Linked DNA regions of Drosophila melanogaster. The protein of the gene in region 1 interacts with the protein of each later gene in a pairwise test. Each region holds a gene or a part of one and is shown in the gene's direction. Other genes may lie near its edges. The genes, in order: Snp and CG8388.

What was found.
Region 2: the proteins of Snp (region 1) and CG8388 interact in a two-hybrid assay, tested with the Drosophila melanogaster proteins (one large-scale study listed by BioGRID).

What each region holds. Positions count from the first base shown.
Region 1 is NT_033778.4:22,059,297-22,064,241, forward strand, and holds the start of Snp (snipper), read left to right. Parts: upstream 1-1,653; 5' UTR 1,654-2,262; coding exon 2,263-2,285; intron 2,286-4,945. Other genes in the region: CG13501 (uncharacterized protein), read right to left, coding at 1-563, 616-765, 816-898, 963-1,209, 1,268-1,364. UniProt on the Drosophila melanogaster protein: A broad-specificity exonuclease, capable of degrading both structure-specific DNA and RNA targets without sequence specificity in vitro. Requires two to five unpaired nucleotides in the 3' region for efficient binding and nuclease activity.
Region 2 is NT_033778.4:16,008,847-16,013,507, reverse strand, and holds CG8388 (uncharacterized protein), read left to right. Parts: upstream 1-2,069; 5' UTR 2,070-2,169; coding exon 2,170-2,289; intron 2,290-2,352; coding exon 2,353-3,299; intron 3,300-3,353; coding exon 3,354-3,735; intron 3,736-3,791; coding exon 3,792-4,061; 3' UTR 4,062-4,107; downstream 4,108-4,661. Other genes in the region: CG8389 (uncharacterized protein), read right to left, coding at 1-835, 894-1,367, 1,438-1,515.

The sequences.
Region 1 (4,945 bases):
CCAGTTGCCAATGATGTAGCGCTTAATGCACGGCATTACACCCAACTCCCGAAACACTTTAAGGCAATAAATTTGCAGGCGGGGATTATCCGTCGTCGAAGTCATGAGACGACCCACATAACACGGCAGTTGGGTGAACTCCCTGCTGCGCCACAATGCCCGCTTGCTATGGAGCCCATTGAGCAGGGCCAAAGCCGTATATTCCCAGTTCTCCACCTTCTGGCGAGGCAGCAACATTCGCGGATTCTCATCGGGCTGGGCAAAGACGTCGTAAAGCAGCTTTACACCATCCACGGCATCGAAACGCCGCTGACCCTCAGCACAGCAGAGTAGCAGCGCAAATGCCTTGGTGTTCATGTCCCAGAAGTTGGACAAGCGGTTTAGGATCCTCGAGTGCAGCAGCTCGAAGAGGCCCAGCTCGATGCCCCGATCGGGTGCCACTTCCAGCATGTCACACAGGTGATGCCACAAATGCAACGGGAATTGCGGACGGCATGGATCCTGTCTGAAGATCTCGGCTAAGGCGGAAAAGTTTTCAGGATCCTCCAGGAATATACCCAGAACTAGGAAAAAATATAACACCGTTAAATCCAATGAAGTGCATGCAGAGCTCACCTTTTGGCTTGCATGTCAAATTTCGCAATATCTCTGAAGCCAATTCATCCTTAATAGGCTCTTGGTTCTTAATGATTTTATAAAACTCCACCCTTAAGCACTTGCGGTTGGCTATATTTTCGGCTCCATCCAAATTGCGGGATAGTATATCTTTAAGAAATAAAAGCTTATTCTAAGAATTCACACAACCTTCAACTTACTATAAATCCTTAGATACATCTCCACCTCCCGGTGCTCCTCCTTGTGATGCTTCAATCTCATACGCATAAAGGCATTCTTCAACCTATTGGTAGGATAGAAACTGGATGATATCAAAAAAAAAAAACTCCTCAATGCAGACAACCCACTTTCTAACAAGGTCCATTTCAATGATAGCTCTTTGGGCATTCAGTGGATTTAGAACGAATTCCGACAACGATACGACTGCCTTCCAATGGGTCAGCCTAACATCACTATCCAGTTCTTTGAGCAATTTGGGCAGTGCAAACCAGCCGTAGGCCAGTTCAGCACGATCCGCCAGGTGCGTCGAGGTCGAATTGCAGCAGAGCGGCATACACTTGCAAATATTCCGTTTCTCCATATGATGCGTCCACTCTGTAATCCATTTTTTTTATGATTATCCTTCGCTGATTATATATCGCAACTAAATTACCCGTAGTCTGCAAGCTGTTTATGGAGGTCGGCTTCATCACATCCTTGATTTCGTGTTGCAGAAAGTGATTGCGATATCTCGCTAGCTGCTCCCACATTTTGGTTTAATGGTTTGTTGTTATTATAATGAGAAAATACAATACGTGTCAAATGCCAGAACTTTTTTCAAAAATCAACTTCTATTCTACGTTTCAACTTAACATTTCTGTTAGGAAAACTATGTTTCTGTACTGTAAAGCGCCATTGCGGCTGAGAACGTAACCCAATTGGTTGGAAGCTCAACTGCGTGTTGAATATTATGAAAAGGTTCGAAGCTCGGATGCAACAGCTGTTCGTCGCCTGAAATCGATATATCGCAATTTGGTTGATATATTTCGCCGATTCAATGCCGCTGCATTTGTGAACGGACGCCGAGCGAGTTACTACCGAATATTAGATGCGGACTGCAAGCGCAGCTATACGAGAATATACCGACAGGCACGCAAAATATGCAAATACCAGGAGTGCATCTCTATTGACCGGTCAAATACTCGGCTTGGCGGATAGTGCATTTGCAGTTGCAATTTCATCAATCGCCAAATGCACTTGACTGAAAGGCTGTACAAAAAAACAAAGAGAAAAAACCCAGTGTGCGTGCGGGAATATGTAAAAAAAAAACGAGTTAAATAAATAGCTAAATAACAAGCAGAAAGCAGAACGTAAGTATCGAAAAAGCGCAGTGTTTTTGTTGTGCCGGCTGAAATAAATTCGATTGTGTGCGCGCGCGTTTGTTTGTGTGTCGGCATGTGCGTGTGAGTGAGCAGACAACAAAAGGAATTCGGCTCGCTCAACTTCTTCCTAGTTTACCGTTACTTGCACTGCCAAAATCGCAAAAAATAAGGGGAATAGGGAGATAAATAAATAAGCCGACGAATTTCGAATAGCATAAATAGTAGCTCCTGCCAAAAAAAAAAAGAAGAAAAATCAGAGAAACGTCAGTCAAATCGAAAAACAGAAATGGCCTTGATAAAACTAGCAAGGTGAGTTTTTATTCTGTTTTCTCGCTAATATTACCTATAAAGTATGTGTATAGGAATTTTCCCGTTGAAAGTTGTAGTCCACCTTCTCTTTCTTTGCTTTTCCACTTAACAAACCGCAATTAAGTTGGCCAGGGGCGGAGTTTCCACCGAAAGGGGGTTTTTCCAGCACTTGCCCACGTAAATTGATTTTCTGTGGCCCCGTCATCCTGTCGTGCTGACCTGAACTGACCCCATTTTTCATTTCCATTTTCCGACAAAAGAACAAAGTCCGCAGCCTGAAAAATCCGGCCCTGGCCTTTTTTTTTTATTGTTGCCTCTTGGTCAACAGCAAAGCGCTTGAGGCCGTGTAATAACTTTCGGGCAAATATTTATTTCCCAGCAACGAGTTGTTGATATTGAAGTTGGTCAATGCACTTTGGCGCCCCTGAAACGCACTTCAAATATCGCTAAGTGTAATCAGGGACTCGGAAAAACGATGATAACAATAATTAAGCATATTGCAGAATCGTAGATATACATACAATTATATTTATGTATTTCAATTGTATGATAATATGATATACTTAATACCAGTACATTTACATTTACAAAAATAAACATCCTTGTGCTTAGATCCAAATTAATTTCGCATGAAATATTTTCGAAATCTTCATAATACCAGTTTCGCAACCAGATTAAACTACTTTTTAGAACACACAACGAACAATCGAATCTAATTTGAACAAGATCAATTCATAAACTTAAGAACACAGCGAACGTAGGATTATGATAATCTGAATTTCAAATGAACTGCTAATAATAGGAAAACTTACGTGAGGTCTGTGCAATTAATTCTGTTATTGTCTAACAACTAACAATGTATTTGTTTACCTTCTCGATTTCGTTTGTTGACTTTTCCAGCATGTACAACAACTAAACAAACTAGCTATCTGGCTATCGAATTTCCAACGCCATTATATCCACTATCCCCTTCACTATAGACTCCGATATTTATTTATTTGCTGTTTACGTTCGCAAAAAAAAAACCAAACAGTCGCAAATCACACATGATTAAATTAATCAAGCGGCGCACAGGCGTTAAGTTTGCGATCAGTTGATTGATGGCCCGCTGACTGATTGGCCGCGTGCTCAGCAATCAGAATTGGGACTATCCCATACGCCACATACACTTTGCCCGGAGGATCCGAGCTGCACTTGCTGCACTGTGAGTGCCCCACTTCTAATGGTCCGCACATAGTTGGAGCAGTGATTCACCTGACCCATTCCCTGGAAGGGGTTCGGTGGTCCAAAAATAACTCCCAGCCTTTCAGCAATTGAGATCAGAGTTGCTGGGACACGGACTTTGGTAATTGAGTGTAATTGGAAGTGAACACGAGACCACTCACTCCAATCCCCAGATCTCGGTGGCCAGATGACGGATGACAGGCCCAGTGGAAGCTGCAAAAGTGCAGCAGATTGCATCCACAAAGAATGTGTCTGTATCGCGGCCCGATGGCCCCAATATGTCCTCGCCTGACCTGCTAGTTCAATTTGCACATGAAACATACAGTATGTATTCTTCGAGTACCACCACCTCATATATGCATGTTTATATATATATATATATATATATATATATATATATTCATATTTATATGGCTGTGCAGTGGAAACTTTTGTGGACTACAATGAGAATGCAATAAAACTAAAACGGGAGGCTGCATTGATAAAGCGAGTAATCTATATGACGACATGGTCTCGAGTTACTCTGTAAATAGCACCCTGCGCACATGGAGCGTATTTACATACCACATATACATATATGTACGTACATACTATGTATCTGCGTAATCTCGGGCTGTTTGAAAGCCCTATTGTTATACGACTCGTGCTGGCGACTGTTTAATTTAATTATGACTGTTTCATTAATTGAAGTGCGTAGTATTCTATAAATGGAAATCTTGCGGCCGCAATAACAACGCGCATGGGGCATCAAATGAAAGCTTCCAATCAAGATCAGTGCTTTATAACTTTTGTCAATCTTAACTCAGTTCGATTTGTCACTCCACTTCAGCAAAGTCGTAGATCTTCGATTGATAAGCAGTACTTCCTTTGTCTTGGCCAAAATGCACCTGATCGATCAATGGGAGGTCTTGGCCATCCACTCGTGAGTAGACTCAGCTATCTTTGTAAAGTTGCGCAATTTCCAAGCTGGTCGCACATCGAATTCTAGTTCTCATTCCCACACGAAAACCCGTTTAAAAAAACAAACCAACAAACAAATGAGCTAATGTGCTTGAATACGCTTAAGATCGGTTTGAATATACATATAAGATCCGAATTTTGGGTGGTTCTCATATAAATTGTAATGCTATTTACGAATCTAGCTGTTATTAAGTAAAGGATCGCATTATCTATAATTTCAACACCTAAATGGCTAAAAACGTAGGCGCCTTTACGGCCAGTTTAAGATCGTAAACAAAGCTGTGCGAACTGTCTCAGTGGCAGTAGCAGAAACGGAATATACTTATTATTATTGCTCAGTTTATAGCTTATTATTTGCAACAATTGAATCAAACCAAACGTATGTACATATGTGGAGTGCCAGCCGCAAATTTGCAGCGCACAAATTAAAGATCAAACAGAGCAATTGGTCGCGGAGAAACCACAACGAACTTGGC
Region 2 (4,661 bases), 6.1 Mb from region 1:
CGTCTATAGACTGCGTCTCCATGGACTTGTTGGTGGCACATCGCTGCCTGCGGTGGCGGTACAATATCTCCGGTGTCCAAACAAGAACCACCACCAGCAGAATGACTCCTTGAGCATAAAGGCAGATTAGGTAGGAGTCGGCGTAGTCTCGCACCCATCCCAGCAGCTGGCCCACTGTGATAACAATAACGCCCTTGGACATCATGCTCAGACCCAGACCGCCGGCCAGTTTTTCCGAGCGGCAATGCGCCGATATGGTGAGATTGTTGTTGATTACAGTGGCTGATTTCATCATGCCTGTCAACACAGACATGGTGATGATCACGGGCAGCGTTTGATTCTCGGCAAGCACACAGCGAGCGACAAAGAGTCCAACAATGCCGATCAGGAACACTACGCGATAGGGTATTCTAAGGTGATCTGTGACGATGGGCAGCAGCAAACGGAACACAATGTCGGCGCCAGCCACAAGGGACATGCAGAAGGCCACCATTTGGCTGTTAAGTTGTGCCGTTTGTCCAAGAAAACCAGGAAAGATCATCGTGAAGTTTATGGTGGCCGTATAGACTAGAGCCATGCCCACAATGATGCTCCAGAATACTAAATCTTTGAGCAGCTCCAGATCCATTGCCTGTACCAACCGCTGTCCCATTCGGCTGCACAGAGTATCCACATTTGGCGGGCTACGCTCGATCTTGCTTTGATTAGTCGGAACAATCACCACCTGAAGGGGACTAGTCTTTTCCCCATCGGCCTCGGTCAGGAGTCGAATGTGTTTGCGGTTGTTGTGCTTGGCAGGTGGGTTTAGTGGTTTCAAGAAGGCAGCACCAAAAAGCTGTAAGGTACTCGGGCTGTAAGCATTGGATCAACATAATATTATATTCTTAACTTACCCCAAATAGTGATAGGGAAGACATGGATAGGACTGCGTAGCGGAAGCCGTGGTTATCCAAGAGGTAACGCACTAGGTGAGGGATAAGCACCTGTCCAAGGCCAGCACCTGCCAATGAAACACCTACAGCCCGTCCTCGTTTAGTGGTGAAGTACGAGTTAATGGCCATGAATGTGGACGGCGAGATGAGGCCGAGTCCAAAGCCTACGAAGAAACTGTAGCCCAGAATGAAGTGCCAGCTTTCAGAGGCAAAGGCGCACAGAGCCAGGCCCAGGGCGACTAGGATGCAACCTGTAGCAGCTACATTTCGCGGCTTAAAGCTCTTAATCGCGGGTCCAATGAAGAGGCCAGAGAAATTGAGAGCTAGGCTGTTTAGATTCGTGATCAGGGCCGCCGTAAATGTGTCCTCTTGCATTTTCTGCAGCTCACCCACAAAGAGCTGGCCGAACACTGACAAAATGGATTGGTTGGTCATCTGGATGCCGGCATATGCAATAAATATGTTTAGTTTTGGGTATTCCTTTTAAAGACTATTGAACACTCACATTAATCAATGCAACGGCGGCCACCACAATCCATCCGTAGCCCCCATCGGGGACAACGCGACTCGATTGCACATCCATGACTGTGCTCTCCGAGTTTCTCGTCGAGATTAAGCTGGCTAAAAATATGTAAACAGCGATAAGTGGACTGTTATTAAAACGTCTGGATTTGTTTATGGCGTCTAAAGACAGGTGTAAAAGTGCGTTCCGATAAGCCCGGCGAAATGGCATTTACCCAGTGGAGACGAGTTGAACGGCTCGTCTCAGAGATTTCCCCAAACTGCGTGGCCATTTCGCAAGCAACGTTTTAACAAATTAAGGCGAATTAAAGCCTAAATTAAAATAAATTAATCCCAAAGTCACAAAACTTTGAATCAGTATGACCTCTCTGCGAATGCCATAAAACGTATATTCGGAAATATTGCGCACTTCCAGATATTGCGATATGCACCTTCTTTTTATGTGCGAAACTGTCAGTACAGATTCGTTTAATAAAATATTTAGGGTTTACTTTTCCAGATAGTGCTTATCTAAGTGCTTATTATAAGCAAGTGAAAACAAATAACCCGAAGTTTTTAATTCAAAAACACGACTATGGTCCCACTATTCTGGCGCCGCTTATCGATAGCCGCTAGCGATGACAGTAATCAGCTGTGCTTTGCCCTGTTTTCATTTGTAGAATAACACACATTTTTAATAATTTTTTTTGTATATTTTCGCGCGTCTCTCTCACAAATGCCTTGTTTTCTGTGCACTCAGACTGTGGATGATGCGGCGGGCAATATAGAGTTTGCCTCGGAGGAAGCCGATTCACTTGGCCTGCGGTGCATCATCGAGAAACACTTCTGGCTTCAGGTAAACAAACAAATATTACCTGTGTTATTATTGTTATTGTTATTGAAGAGTGATCTTTTTCAGATCCCTGACTCAAAAAGAGCCGGCTATGTGTGCGGCCCCTGCTGGGAGCAGCTACTGCTCTTTCACAACTTTTACCTCAATGTGGAACAAGCCCACAAAGCGCTGGAGCAAACTGTTTTGAAGGAGACATCTCCGCCAGAAGTGGTTGCTTCCGCTCTAGAAGAGCACATCGTTAAAAGCGAGCATGACGACAGCGTAGCCGCTGCCGTCAAACGCCGACGTGGACGTCCTCGAAAAGTCGCTCAACAGGATGCACGCGAGGAGTTGAAGAGCGTGCTGGAGCAAATCAATTTAAATGAAATAAAAATCGAGTTCCCCGAAGCTGACTTGACAATTGCCGATGTGCTTGAGGATCAGGAGGAGCAGGATTTCCTACCCGACGACTGCATCAGCAAGGAGGGAGCGGAGGATCCAGAGGTTTTGGAGAAAAAACCGCCGACGCTTAAGCGAAAGGTTAGCGGACGCTCAAGAGGTCGTCGACGCGTGCAACTCGCGGAACGGCCCAATACAAGCTGTCTGCCCAAAATCCAGAAATCACAAGAGTTTAATGATTATATTCGCGAGCACTATAAAGTTCAGTGCCACATCTGTAACTTGCCAATGGAGGACTTCTCCGAGATGCTGGCCCATGTACGACGGGAGCACAAGCAGCGCGGCTATGCAATGTGTTGCAACCGAAAATTCCTTAAGCGGGGAGTTCTTGTCGACCACTTGCGCCGCCACCAGGACCCTGAAACCTTTAAGTGCTCCATCTGCGGCCGCGTGATGGGCCACCGTCGAAGTCTTGAGTTGCACATGCGCATGCATGAGATCAAATCTCGCGGACGACTATACCGCTGTGAACAGTGCTCCAAGGCCTTCTACAGCGCCGTCGTCTATGAGCGCCACAAGCTGACTCACATTCCACGAGAGCAGTGGAAGGTCCCTTGCACGCACTGCGAGAAAACGTGAGTGACCGAAAGATTTACTCTTTCTCAGATAGCTACATTTGTATTTTTCAGTTATCCCAGTCAGTATACGATGCAGCAACATGTTAAGCTGGTCCATTTGAATTTATATGCCAAGATCTGTGATGTCTGTGGAAAATCGATCAGAGGACGCGAAGCCTTGGCCAGGCACATGGAGGAGCACACGGGAGGGCCGCAGGCAGCAATCAAATGCCACTTGTGCGACTCAATGCTAACCACCAAATATGGACTGGCCCGCCACATAAAAATGATGCATACCGCTGAGAACCTGCAGCCGATGCAGTGTGAATTTTGTCTTAAGATATGCCCCAGTCTACAGGCACACCAGCACCATATCAAGTACACCCACAATACGGCACGTAGTCATCAGTGTCCTATGTGCGAAAAGGCCTTCAAGAGACCAAATGAACTAAAGGTAATTAGCGAAATCAGTGACCGATGAAAGCAATTGATTTTGAACTGTTCTTGCAGGAACACATGACAACCCACACGGGCGAGGTTTTGTACACATGCCCCCATTGCCCGCAAACCTTCAATTCAAATGCCAACATGCATGCGCACCGCAAAAAGGTGCACCGCAAGGAGTGGGAGGAGAACCGACACAAGCGACTGAATCGTTCTCGCAAATCAGACACCATCATCGCCGTCAGCGTACGAAAGACCACAGAGACCAGGCAGGATGGAGGGTTGGTACCTGCAGAAGCGATAGCAACTACCAGCAGCCCTCGAGCAGAATGCTAGCCCTAGGTGACCTTTTGACGCAATAAAAAACCAAATGGGACACCGTACCCCTATTGTGATGACTGCAGTGGCGGGGTAAACAAATTATGTGATTATTAATTGAAATCCCTGTGTCGATGGGATCAACCGGCTGAAACTGGTTTGTCCATCTGCCCCCCGATCATCTCGAACTGGTAAAACGGACATCGGAGCTGGCGTTATCAGCGATTAAGGTCGAATCTGGTAATTCATAACACATATAGACGCATATAGCACAACGGTTCAGTTTAAATACTCTTATTTTGACGACGACCAACCCGGGATGCTTCAACGGCTCAGGCAGACGGAGAAACCAGTTTGAGTCGGTTTGGAAAAGTGGATTTAATCCTTATCAGCGAATTGGCATTATCATGGTATCAGTTCAAAGGTATCATCAATCGGCGTGTGTGTTTGTACACATTCTAGTCTTCTGCGGAATCCTCAATCTGTGCCAAAGAAATGACTAGGCACGTTATGATGTTTTGTTTTTTCATCTGTGGCAACATCTTATTTACCAATGGAATATTTGGAAAGTTTTGCAAGCCACACATGGTGCGACGCAAATCTGCCATGATCTATTGA